Linked DNA regions of Drosophila melanogaster. Changing the gene in region 3 together with the main gene of any one other region gives a genetic interaction. Each region holds a gene or a part of one and is shown on either strand. Other genes may lie near its edges.

Region 1 (7,547 bases), on a different chromosome or scaffold from region 3:
GGGAGCGAGAAAGACATATGTAGATCGTTCTGTGGAAGGAGTGTTGGTCGCGGAGGGTTGTGTTGTGATGTTGTGGAGGGGAGGGAAAGAGATGCAGTGCATGTAAACAAAATAGAGAAAGAGGCAATTGCAGTAAATTCTTTGGCAAAAGAAATCTTGTTGAAAGCATTTCCTCCGCAGATGCTTATGTGTACTGGCGACCTGAAAAGAAATTGTTGCCCTGCTTGAACTTGTCGCTCCACTCTCCACTACCCACCTCCTCGCCCCCTCCCTCGCACACTCCTCTGCCCACACACACACACACACACAACACTCCATTCACAATTGGCCTTTTGCGGAGTCATATATTAAATTTGATTTCTCTAGCCGAGCACTGTGAATGATTTGCCGCCAGTTGGCACGCCCGTTCGCCACACTGCAGAAAATACCAGGGCACATATATATCTATATCTATATATCTATTAAATTTATCCTTGCATGCCAAATATTGAAACGCAGCACTTTATAGCTCTCTTAGCTTAAAATGTAAATTTTACTCAATTTAAGAGCACTAATAACGAACGTTTATTTCATTTCCTAATCAAATCTTACAGTTTAAGTACTTTGTTTTCCGTGTAGCGAGCCAGAACCATCCGCAAAACCTGTTGCTCGTTTGCCTTTTTATTGGATTTTCTGTTTTCTACCTCTGCTGCTCAGCTGCTGCGATTCCGATTTCATTAGTGATTCATTAGATGCGTTGGACAAGCTAACGCAAAAAGCCAAAGCTTGTTCCCAACGCATCCTTCAATACAAGGCAATTCAAATGTTCAAACGCTAACGGCCAGCCTCTCAGCCTGGTCAAATGAATCACTCCATATTCTCCACATATTCTAACCAATTTCTCTCGTGTTTTGTTTGGCTCTCAGTTTTGCGCTGTGAATAACGTGCTATTTCCTATTTTGGCTGGCCGCGATTATCGCATCGTTTTGTAAATTTAGTGCGCATTATTAATGAATTTGTCCAATTTGCTGCGGTATACTTTTATCGTTTTTGTTTATAATTATAATCAGTCGTTTTCACGCGGTGAGAGTTTTGGATAGCACAGTGGTCGGATTCTAATTTGGAAAATGGTTAAGCTTGAGAGTGTTTTAATCTGTAATATAAACTTATTGTACAAACCTAATTATAAATTGATCATTTTTGAGCTTACCAGTAATATTCACACAGTATTAAAATTATAATTCCTATTAGATTTCCACCCTTAAAAAATTTTAAATGAAAGCCAACTCTCATGTGTTAATGTTCTTAAGCATGTAAAAGGAAAACAGCACCCTTTCCAAGTCGAAGAACCACTGTAATGGGCCTCGTTCCCTCAAAATACGTACATATGTACGTGTTAATTGAAAATTCCACACTCCGTTGAGGCTGAATCGACATTACGGCACCCCAGATAATTGTAAATAAACCCAAGCTGATAATGATCGACCACCTCCCAGCCATCCGTCCATCGATTGGATGCATTCGCTGGGAAGCCATCAGAAACCGCGGTCTGTGCGCTGCTCTCGAACACTTGTAAACAAGGAACAGCTGTGCAAGTTGTCTCCCCCAAAATATTGAAGACTGCGCAGGCCCCAAAAATCGTTGTTTGGTCTTTGTTTAGTTTTCGCCTAGCTATCCAACGAAATGCGCCTCAAAAAGCTGGGGTTAGACTTGAAATCTTTTGCATAGTTTATGAAATCGAACCCAATATTTCTGTTCTGTTCTTTGCAGAATGTCTCGTCACGAGAAAACGAAATCCACGGGCGGCGGGCTCCTGGACAGTCTGTTCGGAAGACCCTCGAAGTCCAAGGGAGGAACCATCAGCAGTGGCACCCTGGCCCATGGCGGACGACCCGTGTCCGCGGACAACTATGTGGTGCCGGGCGTGGAGGACTTTGAGCAGTACATCCAGCAGCTAAGCGTTGCGGAGCTGGATGCGAAGTTTCTGGAGATCATCGAGGACATGAACATTCCGAAGGACAAGAGGGAGCCCCTGTTGGCCAAATCGAAGGAGGAGCGACAGAAGATGATTATGTGGCACTTGAAAGGTAAAGAACATGGTGCAAGTACACGTTTTCAAACAGAAAACCGCATTTGTGTTTGAAGATTGAGTATCGTTTGGCTAAGAACTATAGTTCTGGAATAGAAAGTCTAAGAATAATCTACATACATATACGAATAATCTAAACTCGTCTGAACCGTAATGTTCCAAGCAACTTTGAAAGGCCAACCGGATTGGCAAAACTTTAACACCCTTTCCCTTTGCAAGGGTATACAAACAGCAGACCATCGATTTTCGTGCAACTGGGTGACTCTGCCTTCTACTTTTTTTTTTTGCTTTTGTTGTGCTGCGGAATATTGCATTCCACTTGTGATAAGATAAGCAGGTAACGGAACTCGTGTCCGTGTGCTTTCCCCGTTTCGCTGTGTGCGTGACACTGCAAATTTCGCTTTCTGATTGCTTAGCGCCTTCTTAGCTGCCAATTTGCTCTGTGGCCAGGTTCTGTTCTATATTTCTGGCCAATTCCTAAACCGATTGAAGTGATGTCAACGATCCTTTGGATAAGTAAGCTCATAACATACATAAGTCTCTAAATGGTTTCCACTTCAATTAGTCAAGAGGTGATTACTTTGTTTGTTAACTACATATACTTGCTTAACTCTACTTCAATTTTGAGAATACTTTATTTCTAGAATTATTATAACGATATTATGTGCATCGCAGCGCGGTAATGATTCAGCTGGAATCTTCCCTTGTGTTTGCTTCATTCATATCCAGCGAGATTAGTACGGTGTACTCTACTGTACTACAGTGATACTACCAATTATCACTGTAGCACATCGCCAGCTGTATCTTGAGCACATTTCAATGCCAGCTCAGCTTTCAGCTTCAGCTTCGTTCTTTGGGTCTCGCTCCAGTTAGTTCACCATGGCCATGGTCCATTATCAGTCTTGCGGAGTGTGGAATCAAAGTTCCCTTATCGTTTGTAACGCCTAATTGCGCCACAGCCGCGGACTATCTGCTTGCCCATTTTATCAAGTAATACCAAGTGCTATATTATACATAGTATGTATGTAAGTGGTACGCGGCGAATGCGTGACAAAGTCGAGCGGCAAAAAATGAAAATGCAAAGACATTGAATTTCCACCACCGTGCACATTATACAATTTAAATTACGTCAAGTGGCAGTGAGAAAATGAAATGATTCTTTTATTTCGCGCTTAGGTCTTTTTGTTGTATAAGCAAGTGCATCGTGAAGGCGAGAGAGAGATGTACTATGTACACTGAAAGTATTTTTACTAAACATCATATATAAATATAGCTAATGATTATAACCTACTATTTATAAATCTCAATGGCCTTGTTATTGAATATAAATTTAATATTTCAAATTTTAATTCAAATTTCCTGTACCGACGAGGCTTAGTTCTCAGTGTAGCAGAGGCAGAGGGTGATTTTCCTTACACTTTGGAACGGCCATAAAATGCAAATATGCGAAAACATTAAACACATTATGACAAAATCGAGCTGAAAATAAATTGTGATGCCTGTCAGTAAACTTGAGCTGCGGCACAATCGTATCTCATAGGTGCAGATAGCTGCGAGTGAGAGGTAAAAGCGACTGAAGTAAGTATTTGTGGGTCGTGTTTATTGTGGCAGAACCCACTTGTTGCGAAATTAAATTTAAAACACAAACAATGGACTGGCCGACAACAAAAAAGGCTCGCACAAAAAGCTGTTCATTAACACGCTTCGCTTGCCGTTTTGAGTTAATTAATAAAACAGTTAGCGTAGTTTTGCTTTGACGGATAAACGTATAAGTGGTGGGCAGGTTTTGGCCAATTTGAGTGATGTCAGTGGTGCAGGTCAATCAGAAAAAGGGGTGGGTGGTCGCACCGAAGGCCTCCCTTCCAAAGGTGGGACATGATGATAGCCTTTTAACTACCCCTATCTCTCACAGTTTTAGGGCAAAGTTATCACATAAAGCTGTGCAGCAACTATTTAGAACCTCCAAAGTGTAATCATTGAGCCACCTATATAGAATATGTATCATCCTTTATCATGAAATTTACAAACTTCAAGTTGGAAAATCTGGAGTGATGGCAAATAAACTTAAAAACACATTTGCGTATTATAATGTGTTGATATGTGTATAATGTTACACCTTTGTTTAACATAACTTGTTAACGATTATATTCCAGATTAGAGCTTAAGTGGTAATTTCTCGTTAATTAAATGGTTTTCTTATCAAATTGCCATTGTACGTTTGTGGGAAAGTATTCCGATTTAGCAGACTAATGATAGGGTAGAGTGAATCATCGCTGATATGACTAAATTCAGGTGTGTTGTCGGTGGGAGGCAAACCTCTTTCTTTCAAAATATAAGCCTTGAGCTATTTTGGAATGAACCCGTATACTTTTTATCATCGAAACAGCACAAACGTGAGTTGAATGGCAAAATGTACTTTAATTTACTATTGTGCCAACTTTTAATTTATGTCAAAAGTGTAACAAATCAAAATGTCCAATATTAGCCATAATTATCAATTGCTTAAGTTACGAACTGATCGGATTAGATATTAATAGGTGTTTATAGAACCATATTCCTATGTCTACTATGTAAAATACCGCTGACCACTAAATAGCTTTACAGAAATTCAATACGTGCGCTCATCCGACTCCAACTCCAATTTCTCTTCCAGGTAAAAACTCACTGGAGCGTAGCGCCAACTCCCGCTTCGAGAAGCCCATAGACTATGTGGAATACCTGCAGAATGGGGAGCACAGCACGCACAAGGTGTACCAATGTGTGGAATCTCTGCGCGTGGCGCTCACCAGCAATCCGATCTCGTGGATCAAGGAGTTTGGAGTGGCGGGCATCGGGACGATTGAGAAGCTGCTGGCCCGGTCAAAGAATAATGCCAGCTACGAGAAGATCGAGTTCGAGGCGATTCGGTGCCTGAAGGCGATCATGAACAACACATGGGGTCTGAACGTGGTGCTCAATCCGGATCAGCATAGTGTGGTGCTGCTGCTGGCGCAATCCCTGGATCCCCGGAAGCCGCAGACGATGTGTGAAGCCCTCAAGCTGCTGGCCTCGTTCTGCATTGTCTATGAGCGGAATGGCTACGAGAAGGTTCTCCGAGCCATAACCACTATTGCAGCCACATCCTTTAAAGCGAGCGAGCGCTTTCGACCCATAGTGGATGCCTTGTTTGCATCGGATCAGCAGGATCCCAAACGGGACTTGGCATGCCACAGCCTGATTTTTATTAATACTCTCACCAATACCCCCACGGATTTGAACTTCCGCCTGCACTTGCGATGTGAGATTATGCGCATGGGTCTATACGATCGCCTAGATGAGTTCACCAAAATCGTGGAGGCCAGCAATAATGAGAACCTGCAGCAGCACTTCAAGATCTTCAACGAGATCCGCGAGGATGACTTCGAGGAGTTTGTGCAGCGCTTCGATAATGTCACCTTCAACATGGACGACGCCACCGATTGCTTCGATGTGCTGAAGAACCTGGTGACTGACACCACTTCCGAGCCCTACTTCCTGTCCATCCTGCAGCATTTGCTGTACATCAGGGATGACTTCTACTTCCGACCTGCCTATTATCAGCTGATTGAGGAGTGCATCTCACAAATCGTCTTCCACAAGGGTTACTGTGATCCGAATTTCGAGAACCGGAACTTTAATATAGACACCTCGCTACTGCTGGACGACATTGTGGAGAAGGCCAAGGCCAAGGAGTCGAAGCGGTCGGAGGAGTACGAGAAGAAGATCGAGCAGCTGGAGAGTGCCAAGCAAGAGGCGGAAGCGAAGGCGGCTCATCTGGAGGAGAAAGTCAAGTTGATGGAGGCTAATGGTGTGGCGGCTCCGTCGCCCAATAAGCTACCCAAGGTAAACATACCCATGCCACCGCCACCACCAGGAGGAGGAGGAGCACCTCCCCCACCGCCGCCACCTATGCCGGGACGAGCAGGTGGTGGACCTCCGCCTCCACCACCACCTCCCATGCCGGGAAGGGCAGGTGGACCGCCACCACCTCCTCCACCGCCCGGAATGGGAGGCCCACCGCCTCCACCCATGCCTGGCATGATGCGCCCAGGAGGGGGACCTCCACCACCGCCCATGATGATGGGGCCCATGGTTCCCGTTCTGCCTCATGGCTTAAAACCGAAGAAGAAGTGGGACGTCAAGAATCCCATGAAGCGGGCCAACTGGAAAGCCATTGTCCCGGCCAAAATGTCCGACAAGGCATTCTGGGTCAAGTGCCAGGAGGATAAGCTGGCCCAGGATGACTTCCTCGCAGAACTGGCCGTGAAATTCTCTTCTAAACCTGTAAAGAAAGAACAGAAGGATGCGGTGGACAAGCCAACGACGCTGACAAAGAAAAATGTCGATCTTCGTGTGCTCGACTCGAAGACTGCTCAGAACTTGGCTATTATGTTGGGAGGATCGCTGAAGCATCTGTCCTACGAACAGATCAAGATCTGCTTGCTGCGCTGCGACACCGACATCCTGTCCTCCAATATCCTGCAGCAACTTATCCAGTACCTTCCGCCGCCAGAGCACCTCAAGCGTTTGCAGGAGATCAAGGCAAAGGGCGAACCGCTACCGCCGATTGAACAGTTTGCAGCCACAATAGGTAAGGCGAATGGAGTTTGTAGTGCAGAAGGCGCAGAATAACTTTACTTAATTTCAGGGGAAATTAAACGCCTTTCGCCGCGACTTCACAACCTGAACTTCAAGCTGACCTACGCGGACATGGTGCAGGATATCAAACCCGACATTGTGGCAGGAACGGCAGCATGCGAAGAGATCCGGAATAGCAAAAAGTTCTCAAAGATCTTGGAGCTGATTCTGCTGCTTGGAAATTACATGAACTCGGGCTCCAAAAACGAGGCCGCCTTTGGCTTTGAGATCAGTTATTTAACCAAACTGTCCAATACGAAGGATGCGGATAATAAGCAGACATTGCTGCACTACCTGGCTGACCTGGTGGAAAAGAAATTCCCAGATGCACTAAACTTCTACGACGATCTGTCGCATGTTAATAAAGCGTCGCGGGTCAACATGGATGCCATCCAAAAGGCCATGCGGCAAATGAATTCGGCGGTTAAGAACCTGGAAACTGATCTCCAGAACAACAAGGTGCCGCAGTGTGATGATGACAAGTTTAGCGAGGTGATGGGCAAGTTTGCCGAGGAGTGCAGACAACAAGTGGACGTGCTGGGTAAGATTATCTCATCTGATCGGAACGAATATTACATGAGCAAAATCGAATTCTCTAACATCTCGTTTTAATTTCAGGCAAAATGCAGCTGCAAATGGAGAAGCTGTACAAGGACCTCAGCGAGTACTATGCCTTCGATCCCAGCAAATACACAATGGAGGAGTTCTTTGCGGACATCAAGACTTTCAAGGATGCCTTCCAAGCGGCCCACAACGACAATGTCCGGGTACGCGAGGAGCTGGAGAAGAAGCGTCGTCTGCAGGAGGCCCGAGAGCAGTCTGC
Region 2 (6,356 bases), 4.0 Mb from region 3:
ATCCGCCAGCTGCGGGCAACTCGGCGCAGAGTTCCCAGACGGCTCGCCGCAAAATCCGCGCCCCCGTACGCCGTTTGCCGCCCCGGTAGAAATGGCATCGCAGTCGGCCATCACGATAGCAAATGAGGCCGCCGTCGGATTAGGATTAAGATATTGGCAGCCATTGCCGAGAGTAACAGAATCAGCAGTAGCAGCAAAAGCATCAAGGGCCGAAAAGGAAAAGCAAGACACAGAAGACGCCGGCAACAATAGTGGGCTCAAAGGTTCGGTCCAGAGCCAATATCACCAGGAGCCAGATATTCAAGGATCATCGAGGATAAACATGCAGTCACCAAAGTCGCCATGTGTGAACAAATACCGCTTCGTACGCCGCCACAGCCTGAACTCTGAAACCAGGAAACCCTTTAGCAGGAATATTTGGCAGAATACAACAGGAGAAGGCAATGAAACCAATGGCGACGATGTCCCTAAAACACCAACAACTGGCGACCAGGAGGACAACCAACAGGAGGAACGAGATTCAGCGGTATATACATCAACAGAACGAACTGTACTAGTAAGGACCCAATTCAAGATAGTGCGGCAAAGGAGCGTCATCTCGAAACCGAGACAGAAGCCTCCGACTTACTCTTAAAAAGCTAAGGAATAGGTTCGTTCCACATCCTTCTCTGCTCTCCGATGATTGGGAGATGACCACGCGAATGTCGCTCATACTACGCATATTGATGATTACAAATTATAAAAACACTTCGTTGGATTTACGCGAGAATTCATCGCACCAAAAAAAAAACGAAAATGAATATATTTTAACGTTATTTTTGTTGAATATATAATATACCTTAACGATAATTATGTAATAATTATTTTGCGAAATAGTAAAGAAACGTGTAATGCTGCAATCAAACAGAGATGCGAGGCCATGTAATAGCGCAAAAAATCAACTACTGTATAATGTAGTAATACGTATATTCGAGTTATTGGCCGATACGTCGAGCATATGATGATTGCAGTCAGATAAGAGCGATCGGCAAACGATTGCATTAAGTCTTTAGTTTTTGTTATTAATTTTAGCGTTTAGATTCACACACACACAATTCACACGAGGAAAATACCTGCAACGACGTTCTGTGCAGCAGCCAAGGTGGAAAGCCAACAAATTAAAGAAAAACAACTATCTAGCAACGTAAAGAAACCAACCAACCCTATAGCTAACAAGATAACAGATTAGATGAAAAGATTAGAGAGAATGGTGGCAAACTGGAAAACCGAAAGAGTTATAATTGTATGCATGTTTTTTATATACATAAATTCATAAAGAACATTTAATATTTTATTTTAAGTTTATATTGATCATTTTTAAGTCGAGAACAGAAATGGAAATCAGAAGTCTATGTTGAGAGAGAAACGGTATCATAATGTAAATAAGTAAATATATGCGGTATGATAATTTAAACATTGTGCTCTTTACTTGGGTTTTCAACTGGAATTGCAATGAAATTCTATAACGAATATTTGGTGTCTTAAAGTACATATCTTACTTTGAATGGTAATTGTTTTCAGCGCGAATACTTTACAAACATTTGAATTTCGAAAAGCCAGTTGACCACAGGCGAACTCACCATGCCACGGCAACGGTCACACTGCCGCCATTGCGATAGACATCGATAGCCGTTCCAGCACTAATACTCACGATAAACACCACCTCTATTTCTGGCATCGGCAATTATTTCCCTAGGTTTATTATTTTTTTGTTAAGCGAATTGCTTGTGCGCTCGTGCTGTCGCCATAATGTGTGCAATGTGTGCCAGCCAGAGGAGCAAGTGGTGAAGGTGTATCGCTTGTGCGCATCTCGATTTGTCCATCCATATCCAATTGAATCCCAGTTTCCCAGTCGCGTCCGCTGCTATGCGTGTGTGTGTGCGTGCGTGCCCGTGTCCCTGCATGTGTGTGTGTGAGTGAGATCGGGAAGAAGTTGTGTGCTGTTGTTGTTGTTGTTTCTGTCGGATTTGCCGTTGCCATCGTTTGTTGTTTGTGCATTTTCCATTGTCGGGCGACGCAACAAAAAGAAAAAAATTACACATTAAAAATAGAGAGCAAGAGCGAGAGGGAAGGAGTGGTGTGGAGTGGAAAAGGGCGGTAAAAGGGCAGAAATTTGGAGCACGGGAAATCCGAGTCGCTGAAGATGTTCTCGAAGAAGAAAAAGAAACCGCTGATCTCGATGCCCAGCAATTTTGAGCATCGTGTGCACACGGGCTTCGACAAGCGGGAGAACAAATATGTTGGCCTGCCCCTCCAATGGGCGTCCATTGTGGGCAACAATCAGATACTCAAGTCCTCCAACCGCCCGCTGCCACTGGTCGATCCCTCGGAGATTACGCCCACCGAGATTCTCGATCTGAAGACTATTGTGCGTCCGCATCACAACAACAACAAGGCGGACACCACCTCGCTCAACAGCAGCAGCACAATGATGATGGGCTCAATGGCGCCGATGAATCCCATGGCACCTGGCGCACACCCAATGATGAGCCATGGCCCCGGAATGATGATGCCACCCGAGACGGGCGGCATAGTCCTGCCGAAGACCTCTCACGTGGCCAGATCCAATTCGCTGCGGAGTTCCAGTCCGCCGCGAGTGCGACGGGTAGCCAATGTGCCGCCATCGGTGCCGGAGGAGGAGGGACCACCGGCAGCTGGAACACCGGGAGTAGGTGGAGCTAGTAGCGGTGGCTTTAAGCCACCCGGTGCCCATCCCTCCCTGCTCTATAACAGTCAGCATGCGCACGCGAATGGAGCAACAGGACCACTGGCCGTGCGCACGGATCAAACCAACCTGCAGCAGTATCGCAGCAATCTGGCCCCGCCATCCGGCGGCTCCATGCCCCAGCAACAGCAGACTTCGCCCGTGGGTTCGGTGGCCAGTGGCACGCGATCCAATCACTCGCACACGAACAATGGCAACAGCGGCGGCAGCTATCCTCCCATGTATCCCACAAGCCATCAGCAGCAGCAGCAGCAGCAACAGCAGGCCAAACAGGGTGGCGATCAGAACCAAAATCCTCTGCATCCGCATGCTCATCCGCATCCGCACCATCACCAACATTTGGCCAAGTCGGCGTCCAGGGCATCCAGTTCCAGCGGGGGAGCGAGCAGTGCTGCCCAGCAGGCGAGCGGCGCCAGTGGAGGAGCGGCGGGTCAGCCAAAGCAGGACCAACGACTCACCCACGAACAGTTCCGTGCCGCCCTTCAGATGGTGGTCTCCGCCGGTGATCCACGCGAGAACCTCGACCACTTTAACAAAATAGGCGAGGGCTCCACGGGCACCGTATGCATTGCCACGGACAAATCCACAGGCAAGAACATCCGCTTTAACTATTGTCAAAACCATTGAATTAATGGCATTTGGTTTTCTCATTACGTACAGGTCGCCAGGTGGCCGTGAAGAAGATGGATCTGCGCAAACAGCAGCGACGGGAGCTGCTATTCAACGAGGTCGTCATCATGCGGGACTACCATCATCCCAATATCGTGGAGACATACTCCAGCTTTCTGGTCAACGATGAGCTTTGGGTGGTGATGGAGTACCTCGAGGGCGGCGCCCTCACCGATATTGTCACCCATTCGCGCATGGACGAGGAGCAGATAGCCACCGTCTGCAAGCAATGCTTGAAGGCTTTGGCCTATTTGCACTCACAGGTGCGTGACCAGCATGACACTGCCCCTTTCCTGTCCCCGTTCCCATTACCATTCCCTTGGCCAAACTGGGCAGCAGAGAACGGAGTACTCGCCATCATGCGATTCTTTGTGCCTTTGTACCTTGCCATTTGCGGCGCTTTCTTCGCCCTCCGCTTTCGCGTGGCTTTGGTTTCAATTTCTAAATGTTGTCACCAACAAAAGTCGTCGGCCGCACAGTGGGCCATCGAGTGGCGTAGCACGCCCAAAGTGCCAGGTGAAATCGCACGTGCATGCCCTACCTCAAAGCGAAAAGTGTGCATAGAGCGATTTTCGAATGGATAGTTAATTGCATCTTATGATGAAGGAAGTTTAAAGTTATAGTTCATTACTCATTGATAGATAAGCCAATTTGCTATGATTTTGCCTGAGATACAACTTGAGATATTAAAACTATCAATATTAGAATAGCATATAATAATAATATTAAGTCAGTCAGTCAATTGGAACTTGTTTAAGCCCCAACATTTCACAATACTAAGCATTCCTAATGTTTTAGATGTAGTCTATTTAAATGAAATTAGAACTAGAACCCAACCTGTTTATGCTATCTTCCACGTTAGGGAAACCAGCGTGTTCCCAAGAGCAGGAAATTCTTTTTGGGCGTTGCAGGGTCGATCTGGTTTCTTTTGTGCATTTCTGTCCCACGTTGGCTCGTGTAATGCGATAAGTGTCTGTCTGCGGGAGAAAGGGCGTTGGTTGGGGGAAAACCGCAAACTGTGAACGCTTTTAACCAATTTCCCTTCTCTCTCTGTCTCTTTCGACGGTGCTGCCGATGGCGATAAACCATAAACAGGGCGTCATTCATCGCGACATCAAGTCGGACTCGATTCTGCTGGCCGCCGATGGTCGCGTGAAGCTATCGGACTTTGGATTCTGCGCCCAGGTGTCACAGGAGCTGCCGAAGCGCAAGAGTCTGGTTGGCACGCCGTATTGGATGTCGCCGGAGGTCATATCGCGCCTGCCGTACGGCCCGGAAGTGGATATCTGGTCGCTGGGCATCATGGTCATCGAGATGGTGGACGGCGAGCCGCCGTTCTTCAACGAACCGCCGCTGCAGGCGATGCGTCGCATCCGTGACATGCAGCCGCCGAACCTGAAGAACGCGCACAAGGTCTCGCCGCGCCTGCAGTCCTTCCTCGACCGGATGCTGGTGCGGGATCCGGCGCAGCGTGCCACCGCCGCCGAGCTGCTGGCCCATCCCTTCCTGCGCCAGGCAGGACCGCCGTCGCTGCTGGTTCCGCTGATGCGCAATGCGCGACACCATCCGTAGTTGGATGCCACTGGACAACCCAGACGATCCGGCTGCTCGATGAAAGCAATCATTCCCACAGACAACGGATCCCGGCCCGTGGGCATCCATCTATTAAATTCTAGTATTAACATTCAGTTTGGCAGCTGTACTTAAATCCCCGGAGAATCCTCGAAACGTTGTAAAGTCATTTAAGCTCCGCACATCCATATCCATATCCATGCCCACTAACGTTCCAGAAGAGAACGCAATGTGCCTTTCACAAGCCTCGAAATCGAAATTGAAATCGCATCCTGCAACCGATACGGATGGAGAAACGATATAGCATTTATCTGCCCGAGAACCACATTTTTATATATATATATATATATACATATATGAGTATTTCAGCATTTTGCTCTCTGTCTCTTGTCAATATTGATTTGTGTGCGTGTGTGTTTGATTTTTTTTAACCAGCCCATAAAACATTGTTCGAATATATACATATATACGCTAAGAGCTAATGTTAAAAATCTATATATATATATATATACACATATATTTTTTATAAAAACAAATCCTAATTCTAAGCAAAAGCGAAACAACGAAGGTGTGAATCGAAGGGAGACAGAAAACGAAAGAGAAAGAGATAGCGTTAGGCGGAAGAGCATATACAATTTCGACATAAATATTTTTTAAACATTTTACATTTTACATTGGTGTGAAAAGTTTGTACGCTCCAGACATACACATATGCATATATCTAAACACATTCCCGATTTCGAAAATATTTTAGAACTTTTAGCTTACATTCTTTGTTCTGTTTTTTTGATTTAACCCGTGTAATTATTAATTAATGAATAAACTTAAATGCGAAAATGTTCAATTTTGTGGTTTCATTCATAGTTAAAAACTACCAAAAATAACTAGAAATCCAAAAAAAAATTTCTGAATAGAAATATTGAATATTTTAATATTTTATTCGACATTTTGGAGTTTCATTTTAAAGATATTTCTGTTTTTTTTATTACAAACTAATTGAAAAATGCATGTTTCGATTTTGTTGTTTTTATTACTGGTTGATTGATTGTTTGATTGATTGATTGATTGTTTGATGGTTGTGAAGAATACATAATTGTGCCCGCTTAAATACTCGCACATATATTCGCAAAATATATATGCGTATTTATCGCGTACATGAAGGATGGGGTACTGGCTCTGGATAAGTGGGCGTGGTCGTTGTGGCGTTGGTGGGTGGGTGTGTGTGAGTTGAGTGAGTGTTGTGTGTGCGCGTGTGTTTTTGTTTACAACATAAGATTACAAATATATTACATACACGAAAAATCAATTGCGAACTAAAAACTAAAGGGCAGATCGGGCTGCCACATAGCTA
Region 3 (4,813 bases):
TCACATCAATTCTGGATAATAGGAAATAAATCAATAATTAGCAAAGTGTTACTACTAGCTTAGTTGTTGCTTTTAATTCAACTCAGGCACATTTGTTACCTATAAGGCGCCCCACAGCACTGTTCCGCCATCGAGGTTAGCCACAAGAAGAAGTTACAGAACAAGCTATTTTTTTTTTTTGGGCAAGCATGTATTAGGGAAATGCAGAAAGAGTCGAAGGACGAACGCCCAGCGAAATTAGTTGGCAATTAGGACTAGACCTAGTTAGCTAATGTGCAAACTTTAACAAATGGCAACCAAAAGTGAGTCAGATTGAAGCAATAAATTATATACAATCAAATAATAGTTATCATTTCACAATACGTACTTCGTAGATTTGAGCCATGGTAAAATTTTTTTCAGTACAAAATGTAACCAAAAAGACATTCTTCTTTAAATTCATATAAAAAAAATGTTGTGACTTGTGTGTAAAAAGTGAGAAGACGGCTTGGTTTGTATAACATATGTACATTAAACGCAAAGGCAACTTAGAAGTTCAAAAAAGAGTACAATCTGATCTTTGAAAAAGATCTTAAAAAAAACAACAAGAAACAAATGTAACAATAAAGTTAATAAATAATGCAAATGCATGCATCTCAATGAGTTCATTGATGTAAATTATAGTAATTTCAGTTAATTTCTTACTCTGTAATGCGGACCGTGGGACAACCATCGTCGAGGGCCACTCCGTCGACCCTCAGGCCGGGCGTGGCGTCCTTGGGTATCTCGACCAGACGGATGGAGTGCATCGGCTTGCCGGCCGTTGTGATCCGCGCCTTCGCATCCGCCGGCTGGCAGGAACGTTTGCCATAGCACTGGCCACAATAGAGCTTCGAACGCTCGACAAGGGCGTACGATTCGCCCTCGCCGATGAAGGAGCCGCATGCCGTGCAGCAGAAGCACTCCGGATGGAATTTGTGCTCGCCGGCGACCATTACGGGTCCGGTGATAACGGCCATACACTGCTGACAGGCATCGCCGAATCGGCCGTAGTAATCCTCACGACAGTACAGTAAGCCCTCCCGTTCGAAGTACCAGTTATGCAGATGGCCCTCGCAAACGGAGCAGCGAAAGCAATCGCAGTGCCATTGCTGGCCGAGAGCCATCACGATTGGCTCCTCTGGATGTGGCAGTAGTTGACCCCGACAATGGGCGCACAATGGTGAGTGTCCTCCGGACACAGGTCCTGATCCTGCGCCCAATCCAGTGCCTCCTCGTCCGCCATTTGCCCGCAGGCGCTGCTGATGATGCATGGAATGTTTTTGTGCCTTGGCCCGATCACGTTAGCACTGTGGGTAAAGAGCAGGGGGGCGGGAGGTTAAAAAAAAGGTATTAGTCGATGACGGAATAGGTATTAAATATAGTAAATATAGACCAGCAGTCACGGAACTTGGCCAATTATCGTCAACAGGTCGATATGAACCAGTGGAAACTAAGCAAATATCATATAGGCAATGTAGGTCTATAAATAAGCTATCTTTACCCATTATCATTAACGTTGAGAAAAAAGATATCTACAATGATATCATACATGAAATGCATTTATTATCAACTAATATAGTATTATATTAGTTTTTCTAACTGATTTAAGTGTTAATGATAGGAAGGTTTGGCATTTTTCAAAACCAATTGCATTCAAAACTCTCCGTGATTTTTTATGATATACTGGGACAGCAATTCGAACTTTATTGCTAAAGCGATAGCCATGTAAATATTTTTGCGTACTAAACAAAATGACCGAACAAAACAAAATAATTGAGTCCGGTAGTCATTAGTTTAGGGTTCAGTGATAAAGACTTCGATCCTGAGTCAGCTGCCCCCCATCGGAATTCGCTATACCGCCTGATTTCCATCATCGATTTGCATGCATAATCCATGGATATATGCATATGGACATACATATGTATATGCAAATACACATGAATGTTTGTGTATTTATGGATATAGCTCAACATTGACCGTGAAAACTCCGGTTGATGCAACAACAAACGCGACTCTTTGGATCAACTGCAATCGCAATTGCACTTCAGCTGAGCTAACTGTAGTTGTTGTGCACGTCCCTCTTCCGACCGCATAAACATGACCAATGAATGACGAATGCACACGCACACACTTGCACGCGCGCACAGTGGTCACATGTGAGCCGTGCGTTAAGTGCAGTCCAAGCTCCATTAGGGGTTAATGTGCCTTTAATCACCTGCTTAACCCATTGAACTTTTACTTTAACCAACCATATCACAGTGCTGTGATTTTGCTTTGAAGAGATTGGAAATGAGTGGGTGTGCCACCCTGACTGAAGTCTATAAAATAGCCAAGACAAGCTAGGTTTACGAATGGAACGAATGGTAAAAAATCAAGTAAGTTTGAGTATTTGTCGCACTAGTCCCGCTAGAAACTAATTCCGTTTAATCAACTATGGTTATCATAACTTGCGGTCCAATTTTTGTTAATTAAGTCAATTAATTCACTCAGGCAATTTGCATATTTTTGGACTCCAAAATTCAGGAATGTGTCCACTGTGCGGAGGCAGAAGCACACACACACACGCGTACAGGTGCTGCACACACACACACACACACACACATGCACGCGCTGTTAGAAAATGTGTGTGGGGGAACGGGAACAACACGACATTAGCAAAGCCAATAGCAACAACAACTGGTTTTTTACTTAGATTTTATTGTTTTTTGCTGGACTTGTACACTAAACTAAACCAAACACACACACACACTTACATAATTGTTCGTTTGTATTGCTATTGACTTGACGCACATTGCACATTTGTTGGTTTTTCCTCGCCAATTTCTTATTCGACTGTAATTCCCGCCAAGCAATTATTAATCGCAACTACCGAAATGCCGCGGATTTTGTTTAAATGCCGACGCGACGCACAGCTCGCTAACTCAAACAATAAAAAAGAAATGCATAATAAACAAAACAACAACAAAACTACACAAAATAAAATACAATTCAGCCAGTGTGACCGTAGGACTGTCATTAAAGAATCTCAAAACTATCGTCTAGCTGCCAATCAACTTAAAAAATATATAAACTCTTTAATGAACAAATTTTTTATTATAAACACGCTGCTTGTCACTAACAAGAAATATTGAACAGAATTGAATATTGAAATAGTTTTTCTTTAATCTTCGAGTGACCGTATATGAGTATGGTTGTAGAAATAATGCGGTCCCATTGAATATATTATTTAACGGAAATTGGGATTTCAAGTGTTTTATATTCAGTTTTTCAAACTTTAATTTAAGTTCACGCATCCCATCTATTTTTAATGAACCCGGTGAATTTAGCGATAATGACAATGAAATACTTTCTGTTTATAACAAAAACAATACTGTCTTCAGCGTTTATTTTATTGTATACTTATTGTTAGCGTCTCTCACCATTTTTGTTTTTGGTCAGTTGAAAACAAAAAAAAAAGTGAAAACATTATAAGAATATTAAATTAAGTGTATAGGGAATCATTCAATTTGCCTAACATCGTCACTATCCTTGCGCTGCGTTTGCCCTGCCACCGAAGCTGCTGCTCCCCACTGTCACTGTTGCTGCGGAAGTTTCTGCGGCAGTTGCAATTGTTGCGGCTGTTGAAGTTTCTGTTGCAGTTGCCTGCTGCTCCTTGACGGCCACAACGTCCTCCACCGCCTGGACTTGCTCCTGGATGTCCCGTCGTTCCTGCTGACGCACCAGCTCAAAGTACAGGCCCCGCTTGCCCATCAGTTCGTCATGTTTGCCGGTCTAAAACAAGGGAAAATATAAATATTTCTGAAGATACCAATGGTCTAGGACAACTCACCTCCACGACGCGTCCCTGATCAAGGACGACAATGAGGTCAGCGTTTCGTATCGTGGACAAGCGATGGGCAATCACCAGAGTGGTGCGATTCTGGACCACTGTATCGAGTGCCTTCTGCACTTCCGCCTCGCTGGTGGCGTCCAAGGCACTCGTCGCCTCGTCGAGGATGAGGATGCGCGGATTCTTGAGCAGCGCCCGTGCAATGGCGATGCGTTGCCGCTGACCGCCGCTCAACTGGGTGCCCCGTTCGCCCACATGCGTCGCATATCCATCGGGCAGGGCGGTCACAAAGTCGTGCGATTGTGATAGACGCGCTGCCGCATACACATCCTCCTCGCCCGCATCTGGTTTACCATATCGGATGTTCTCCAATATCGATGTGCCAAACAGCACCGGCTGCTGTTCGATGAAACCGAGGACATTGGACCGCAGCCAATAGGGCGATATGTCCGACAGCTTGTAGCCGTCCAGTTTGATATTGCCCGCCGATGGTTCGTAGAAGCGTTCCACCAGCGACGCTATCGTCGACTTGCCCGATCCACTGGCTCCCACCAGGGCCACCGTCTGGCCCGGGCGGAGCGTCAGGCTAAAGTCCTTGAGCACCAGCTGTGAATGAAGCAAAAATTGACATAGGAAGTTCATTACTGTTTGCATTGCCTAGACTCTAATCTTTTTATCACTTAGCCGTAAATATTGGCCATAAATGTTTGTGGGTATTATAAAATGGTTATCTACTTGCGGAAGCGATAAGAAGTTATTCAATATTATATAAAAAAGTGGCGAGTTTACAAATTACAGAGCATCGATTAATGTAAATATGCCATCATTGTCTCGAGAATGAAATGAAGATATACTTTAATACAACTCACATGATCGGGTTGCATGGGATATGCGAATGAGACGTTCTCGAATCGAATCTCGCCGTGCAGCCGCTCCTGCGGGATGATGTAGCCGCGCAGCAAT
Region 4 (4,936 bases), 5.1 Mb from region 3:
CGTGTCCACTAACCGCCCAGCTGCTGATGATCTACTACCTCATGTTGTACGAGGATACGCGACTGATGAACCTCAGCGCTTTGGGTGGTCGCAAGCAGAAGGAGTACTCCAACAACTTCCTGGGCGGACTGCCACTGAAGTATCTGCTCCAGAAGGCGCACCACTACCACAACGACTATCTCTCGCTCTTCCATCCGCTGCTGCGTTTGATTATCTCCAACTATCCGCATCTCAGCATGGTCGATGACTGGCTGGAGGAGCACAATCTGGCCCAGGGCAATTCCACGGTGGTGGTAAGCAAGCATGAGCTCAAGCCGGAGACCCTGGATCGTGCACTGGCCGCCATCCAAACGAAACCGCATCTAGCCATCCGCGTGTTTAAGCAGCTACTCCAGATGCCCCCAGAAACGCAGGCGCAGTATGGACAACAGCTGGTGAAGCATCTGCCGATGGTGTTTGCCAAGTCGGTGCCGCGATACGTCAAGGATCTGTACAACGATATTTGGCTGCGCCTGAATGCCGTGCTGCCCACCACCCTGTGGATCATGTCGCTGCGAGCGATTACCAACGGCTCGGATACGATGGATCGACGTACCTTTGCCAACGAGAGTCTTCTGGAGCCCATGGAGGTGCTAAGGTGGGTTGCCTCGTCATTTTCGTGTGTTGTTTCCTAAAATTCTTTCGCATTCCTTTTGATCAACAGTTGTCCACGCTTCGTATTCTGTTCGCCCTATTTGCTGATGATCCTGCTGCGCATTCTGAAGGGCAGCCTAGCCGCCTCGAAGACCTATCTCAACGTGCACATGCAGATGCAGCAGAAGCAGGTGCTGGACAAGAATGGCATGATGCAGACGGATGCGATTTGGGAGGACCTAAGGACCACGCTGATTGCCTCGCAGGAGAGCGCCGCCGTGCACATTCTGCTGGAGGTGCTGGACTACATAGCCAGCAAGGCAACGGATCGGGTGTCGCATCTGGAGCTGCGTGAGATACAGGGCATCATTGGCACCTATGTGCATCAGGCATTCATTTCGGAGCCTTCGCTGGCGAAACTAGTGCACTTCCAAACGTATCCAAAGTCGGTTATTCCCATGATGGTGGCCAGTGTGCCATCGATGCACATATGCATTGATTTTGTTCACGAATTCCTCAACGTGACGGAAATGGAAAAACAGATCTTTACCATCGATCTGACCTCCCATCTGGTGCTCAACTATTCGATACCCAAGAGTCTGGGCGTCTCGAAATTCTGCCTGAATGTAATCCAGACGACGTTGTCCATGCTGACCGCATCGACCAAGTGTAGATTCCTGCGCAATGTGATGCCAGCGATGGTTCGTTTCGTGGAAACGTTTCCCATTCTGGCCGACGACTGCGTCAACATCCTGATGACCACCGGGCGCATTCTGCATTCGCAGTCATCGCTGGGCATGACCACAATGGAAATGCCACTCACCGATAGCGACAAGCTCTGCACGTATCGGGATGCCCAGCTGCACATCATCATGATCGAGGACGCGTTTAAGGCACTGGTCACGGCGGTCATGAAAAAATCGGACCTGTATTAGTTGGACTCGATCCCGCCTTGTTTTTCATAGTCGTAAGCAACCTTTCCCCACTCCGCCCCCCGGCTGATTATAATAGTGCTTGTAAAATTTATAACAACATTGACCAGAATAAATACTTATTGCAAAAACCATTTCTATATAACTAATTAATTAATTGAGTTTAAATTTGGCGCCTCAAATAAATATATAACTACGCAGCTGTTATCGGAATCTACTTTTATCGATAATATACTTTGGTTAGCGAGTACACATACCAGATATATCTATCGTTCCCGGCCATGCCACCCATACGCGTATCGGGTTATCGATAAAAACTAACAAGCATCGACATTAGTTCCAGCTCTAGTTTTTGTTGTTGTTAAATTAAAGCTCGGATGTGAATTACAATAATTGTGAGTAGCGTTCGTGCGTGCGTAATATGCGAATCGACTGGCATTCGGCATTGAGTTTTGTGTTTTGATTCCTGAATCGAGTCAGGACGTATCTGACCTGCTTTTTCAGTGTGCGTTTACGATGCTGATTCGTAATTGTCCTTTGTATACGTTGTGTACGCGCTGCTCCTCTCTCCTCTCGCTCTCCCTCTCCCGCTCTCCCTTGTCTTGAGTGTGTGCGCCTGCTGTGTGCGTGTGTGTGAGTGAGTGAGAGTTCCATGGTGGGAAAATAATTATTAAAGCAAATACAACAAATACAATTGCTTAGTATTTTGTCAAGTGACTGGCTGGAAAAGCCAAGAAGCACGGGCTTCAAGAAAAAGTGTCGCCGAGGCGGATTAAACTTGAATTCTTTGTGCGCAGCTGCAGGTAATTGTTCACACACACAGAACCCACGCACACACACGCAGCCAGCGAGCACGCAGAGAGAGCGAGATGCCCCGCTGCTGGGAGTGTGTGCGCCAGAGCGGGATGGCTAGGCGGATGCGGCAACAGTGTTTTTCTTTTCTGCAACAAATCTTAAAATTCGTTTCCAAAAATTGTATGGTGTTTTGTCTCTCGTCTTTGCGCTCTGCCGCTCCCGCCGCGCCCGTTTGTGTTTTTGTAATTGTACCGTTGCACATGCACTTGCAGTACTCTCTCTTCTCCTCCCCTTCCTCCTTTCTTTTTGCCTTTGTCGTTGTTGTTATCACTGGATCGTTGCTCTCCGTTTCTTGCGCTGTGGCTGTTGTTGTTGTTAGTTGTTAGTTGTTGTTGTGCAGCGCGGAGAATGTACAGGAAATCTGTTGCAGATCCAATTTCGCTTCTGCGCTGCACTTGCCCAGCATGTGTGTGTGTGTGTTTGCGGTGGTTTGTACGCCGGAAAAACTCAATTAAAGGCCAGTGGGGAATTTATTATTTCCACTCTCATTGAAACGCACAACCACACACACCCACATTGTTGCACTCCCACTCGAGGATAACAGCAACAAATTGGAGTGCACTAGCAACAGCAACAACAAACACATTCACATCCGAATCCACCCACGCGCTCTCTCTACTTTCCACTCTCAGTCGCTCGTGCTCGCTCACTCTGACTCTGATTCTCTCTCTTTAGAGAGTTGCGCCGTGTCGTTTGCAGCACCAAAAGAAGCGCTGCGACAGAACAACCGCCGCAGTCAGGACGGAAAAAGGATTTGTTGCAGACTGACTTTCCCTACTTGCCGAAAATGTTGTATAAAAACTAGCCATATAAATAAATACAAAGATCAAACTAGCAACCCAAAAGAAAGCAGGTAAAAAAGAGCCCTGTGCATTTTTTGTGAAATCGCGATTCGCGTATATTATTCGCTGGCCAAAAATCACATGGAATGAATTTTCGGGCAGCGCCGGCATAAGAAAATCGCTTGCGCGTTTTTCTTCTCCGTTTCTTTTTTTTTTTTTGTCACATCGCAGCAGCCAATCTCTCGCTCTCGCTCTCTCGTGTTTTTGGACCCCCAATCCGTGGATGTATCCGTAACTGCGTAGTTGTAGCCAAAAGGAACTCATGACAAAGTCCTAGACTGGCGAAAAGTGTGCGGAAATGTGAAGGTCCTGCGGCCAATTGGAGCAGACGGCGCGGAGGACACGGGGCGATTCTCCAACTCGAAGGTTATCTTGGATAATAGTCATCGGCTGGCATCGCAAGCCAGCCATTTGCCGTGAAAAAGTGACCAGAAATCGACGGTTTTCCATTCCGTGTGTGTCCGGAGAAACTGAGAGGTTATCCCTGAATATCCAAAGATATCCATAAGCTGACGTTTTCACGAAAACACATTTGTATATATCGAGCCGAGCCAAGGTCTATTCTACGCTATTTTTCTTTCGTATATCCCTATAATAAGGAATATATCTTTATGTGAAATCCTGAAAAGCATATTATCCATATGCATATTATCCTTTTCATACAACGTTAACAGGTTATCTCCTGTGATATTTTAAAATATTACCTTAACAACCGATTGAATGAATCAATTTGCGATGGATACAATGTTACAACATTGTGTCATGTTGATAGGCATGTGAGGAAAAGCGCCAGTAGATAACACCTTATCGATATGATAAGGCACAATCATACATTTGAACGAAAACACCTGCAGAATACCAAATCCGGAATTACCTATTCCATAACACTTTTAGCATTTATCTGCGAGTCTATAAGCCAGGTATCTAATTCTCTCCTTCGACTTTTGAATCCTTGCAGGAACGTCAAGATGCGTCAGTTTAACATCTCGGTCATTGGACTATCCGGGACCGAAAAGGACCGCGGGCAGGTGGGAGTGGGCAAGTCATGCCTGTGCAACAGATTCATGCGCCCGATGGCCGACGACTACTTCATCGATCACATATCAGTGCTTAGCCAAAGCGACTTTAGTGGCCGGATCGTGAACAACGACCACTTCCTTTACTGGGGCGATGTGCGCAAGACGACGGAGGAGGGCGTCGAGTACCAGTTTAATATCATCGAGCAGACGGAGTTCATGGACGACTCCACGTTCCAAGCCTTTAAGGTGGGAAAGATGGATCCATACTCAAAGCGGTGCACGGCCACCAAGGTCTTCTCCGCGGAGAAGCTAATGTACATATGCAAGAATCAGTTGGGCATCGAGAAGGAGTACGAACAGAAAGTCATGCCCGATGGCCGGCTCAGTATCGATGGCTTTGTTGTCGTCTTCGACGTTAGTCCAGTGCCCAATCGCAGTGTGGAGAAGCAGGTGGAGTTCGTGCAGAATGTCATCGCAACCATACTAAAGAACAAGAAGCCACTGGTGCTGGTGACCACAAAGAACGACGACGCTTATGAGTTGTATGTTCGAGAGGCGGAGAAAATTAGCCAGCGAAAGGACTACAAGAGCACTGTGCAGCTAATCGAGACGTCGGCCCACGAGAGCATCAACATCGATTTGGCATTCCTCCTGC

What was found.
Region 1: of LIMK1 (region 3) and dia, changing one suppresses a phenotype caused by changing the other (phenotypic suppression), as found in Drosophila melanogaster (2 studies listed by BioGRID).
Region 2: of LIMK1 (region 3) and mbt, changing one enhances a phenotype caused by changing the other (phenotypic enhancement), as found in Drosophila melanogaster (one study listed by BioGRID).
Region 4: of LIMK1 (region 3) and RhoGAPp190, changing one suppresses a phenotype caused by changing the other (phenotypic suppression), as found in Drosophila melanogaster (2 studies listed by BioGRID).

The regions. Positions count from the first base shown.
Region 1 is NT_033779.5:20,758,776-20,766,322, forward strand, and holds the start of dia (diaphanous), read left to right. Parts: upstream 1-1,524; 5' UTR 1,525-1,662; coding exon 1,663-1,682; intron 1,683-1,749; coding exon 1,750-2,066; coding exon of another isoform or gene 2,067-2,122; exon of another isoform or gene 2,123-3,366; intron 3,367-4,721; coding exon 4,722-6,677; intron 6,678-6,734; coding exon 6,735-7,265; intron 7,266-7,342; coding exon 7,343-7,547. UniProt on the Drosophila melanogaster protein: Required for cytokinesis in both mitosis and meiosis. Has a role in actin cytoskeleton organization and is essential for many, if not all, actin-mediated events involving membrane invagination.
Region 2 is NC_004354.4:16,609,010-16,615,365, forward strand, and holds mbt (mushroom bodies tiny), read left to right. Parts: upstream 1-1,675; 5' UTR 1,676-2,182; coding exon 2,183-3,353; intron 3,354-3,424; coding exon 3,425-3,696; intron 3,697-3,767; exon of another isoform or gene 3,768-4,265; intron 4,266-4,528; coding exon 4,529-5,005; 3' UTR 5,006-5,847; downstream 5,848-6,356. Other genes in the region: Nup153 (nucleoporin 153kD), read left to right, coding at 1-89. UniProt on the Drosophila melanogaster protein: Involved in neurogenesis of the adult central nervous system, and together with Cdc42, regulates photoreceptor cell morphogenesis. Phosphorylates exogenous substrates when activated by Cdc42.
Region 3 is NC_004354.4:12,589,157-12,593,969, forward strand, and holds the start of LIMK1 (LIM domain kinase 1), read right to left. Parts: upstream 3,038-4,813; 5' UTR 2,775-3,037; intron 1,329-2,774; 5' UTR 1,293-1,328; coding exon 685-1,292; intron 528-684; exon of another isoform or gene 427-527; coding exon of another isoform or gene 368-426; intron 193-367; exon of another isoform or gene 166-192; coding exon 100-165; intron 12-99; coding exon 1-11. Other genes in the region: CG1824 (uncharacterized protein), read right to left, coding at 3,544-3,792, 3,851-4,456, 4,720-4,813. UniProt on the Drosophila melanogaster protein: Protein kinase which regulates actin filament dynamics. Phosphorylates and inactivates the actin binding/depolymerizing factor tsr/cofilin, thereby stabilizing the actin cytoskeleton.
Region 4 is NC_004354.4:17,649,523-17,654,458, reverse strand, and holds the start of RhoGAPp190 (Rho GTPase activating protein p190), read left to right. Parts: upstream 1-1,896; 5' UTR 1,897-1,960; exon of another isoform or gene 1,961-2,368; intron 2,369-3,148; exon of another isoform or gene 3,149-3,273; intron 3,274-3,558; exon of another isoform or gene 3,559-3,739; intron 3,740-4,220; 5' UTR 4,221-4,230; coding exon 4,231-4,936. Other genes in the region: IntS2 (integrator 2), read left to right, coding at 1-637, 704-1,568. UniProt on the Drosophila melanogaster protein: GTPase-activating protein (GAP) for RhoA/Rho1 that plays an essential role in the stability of dorsal branches of mushroom body (MB) neurons. The MB neurons are the center for olfactory learning and memory.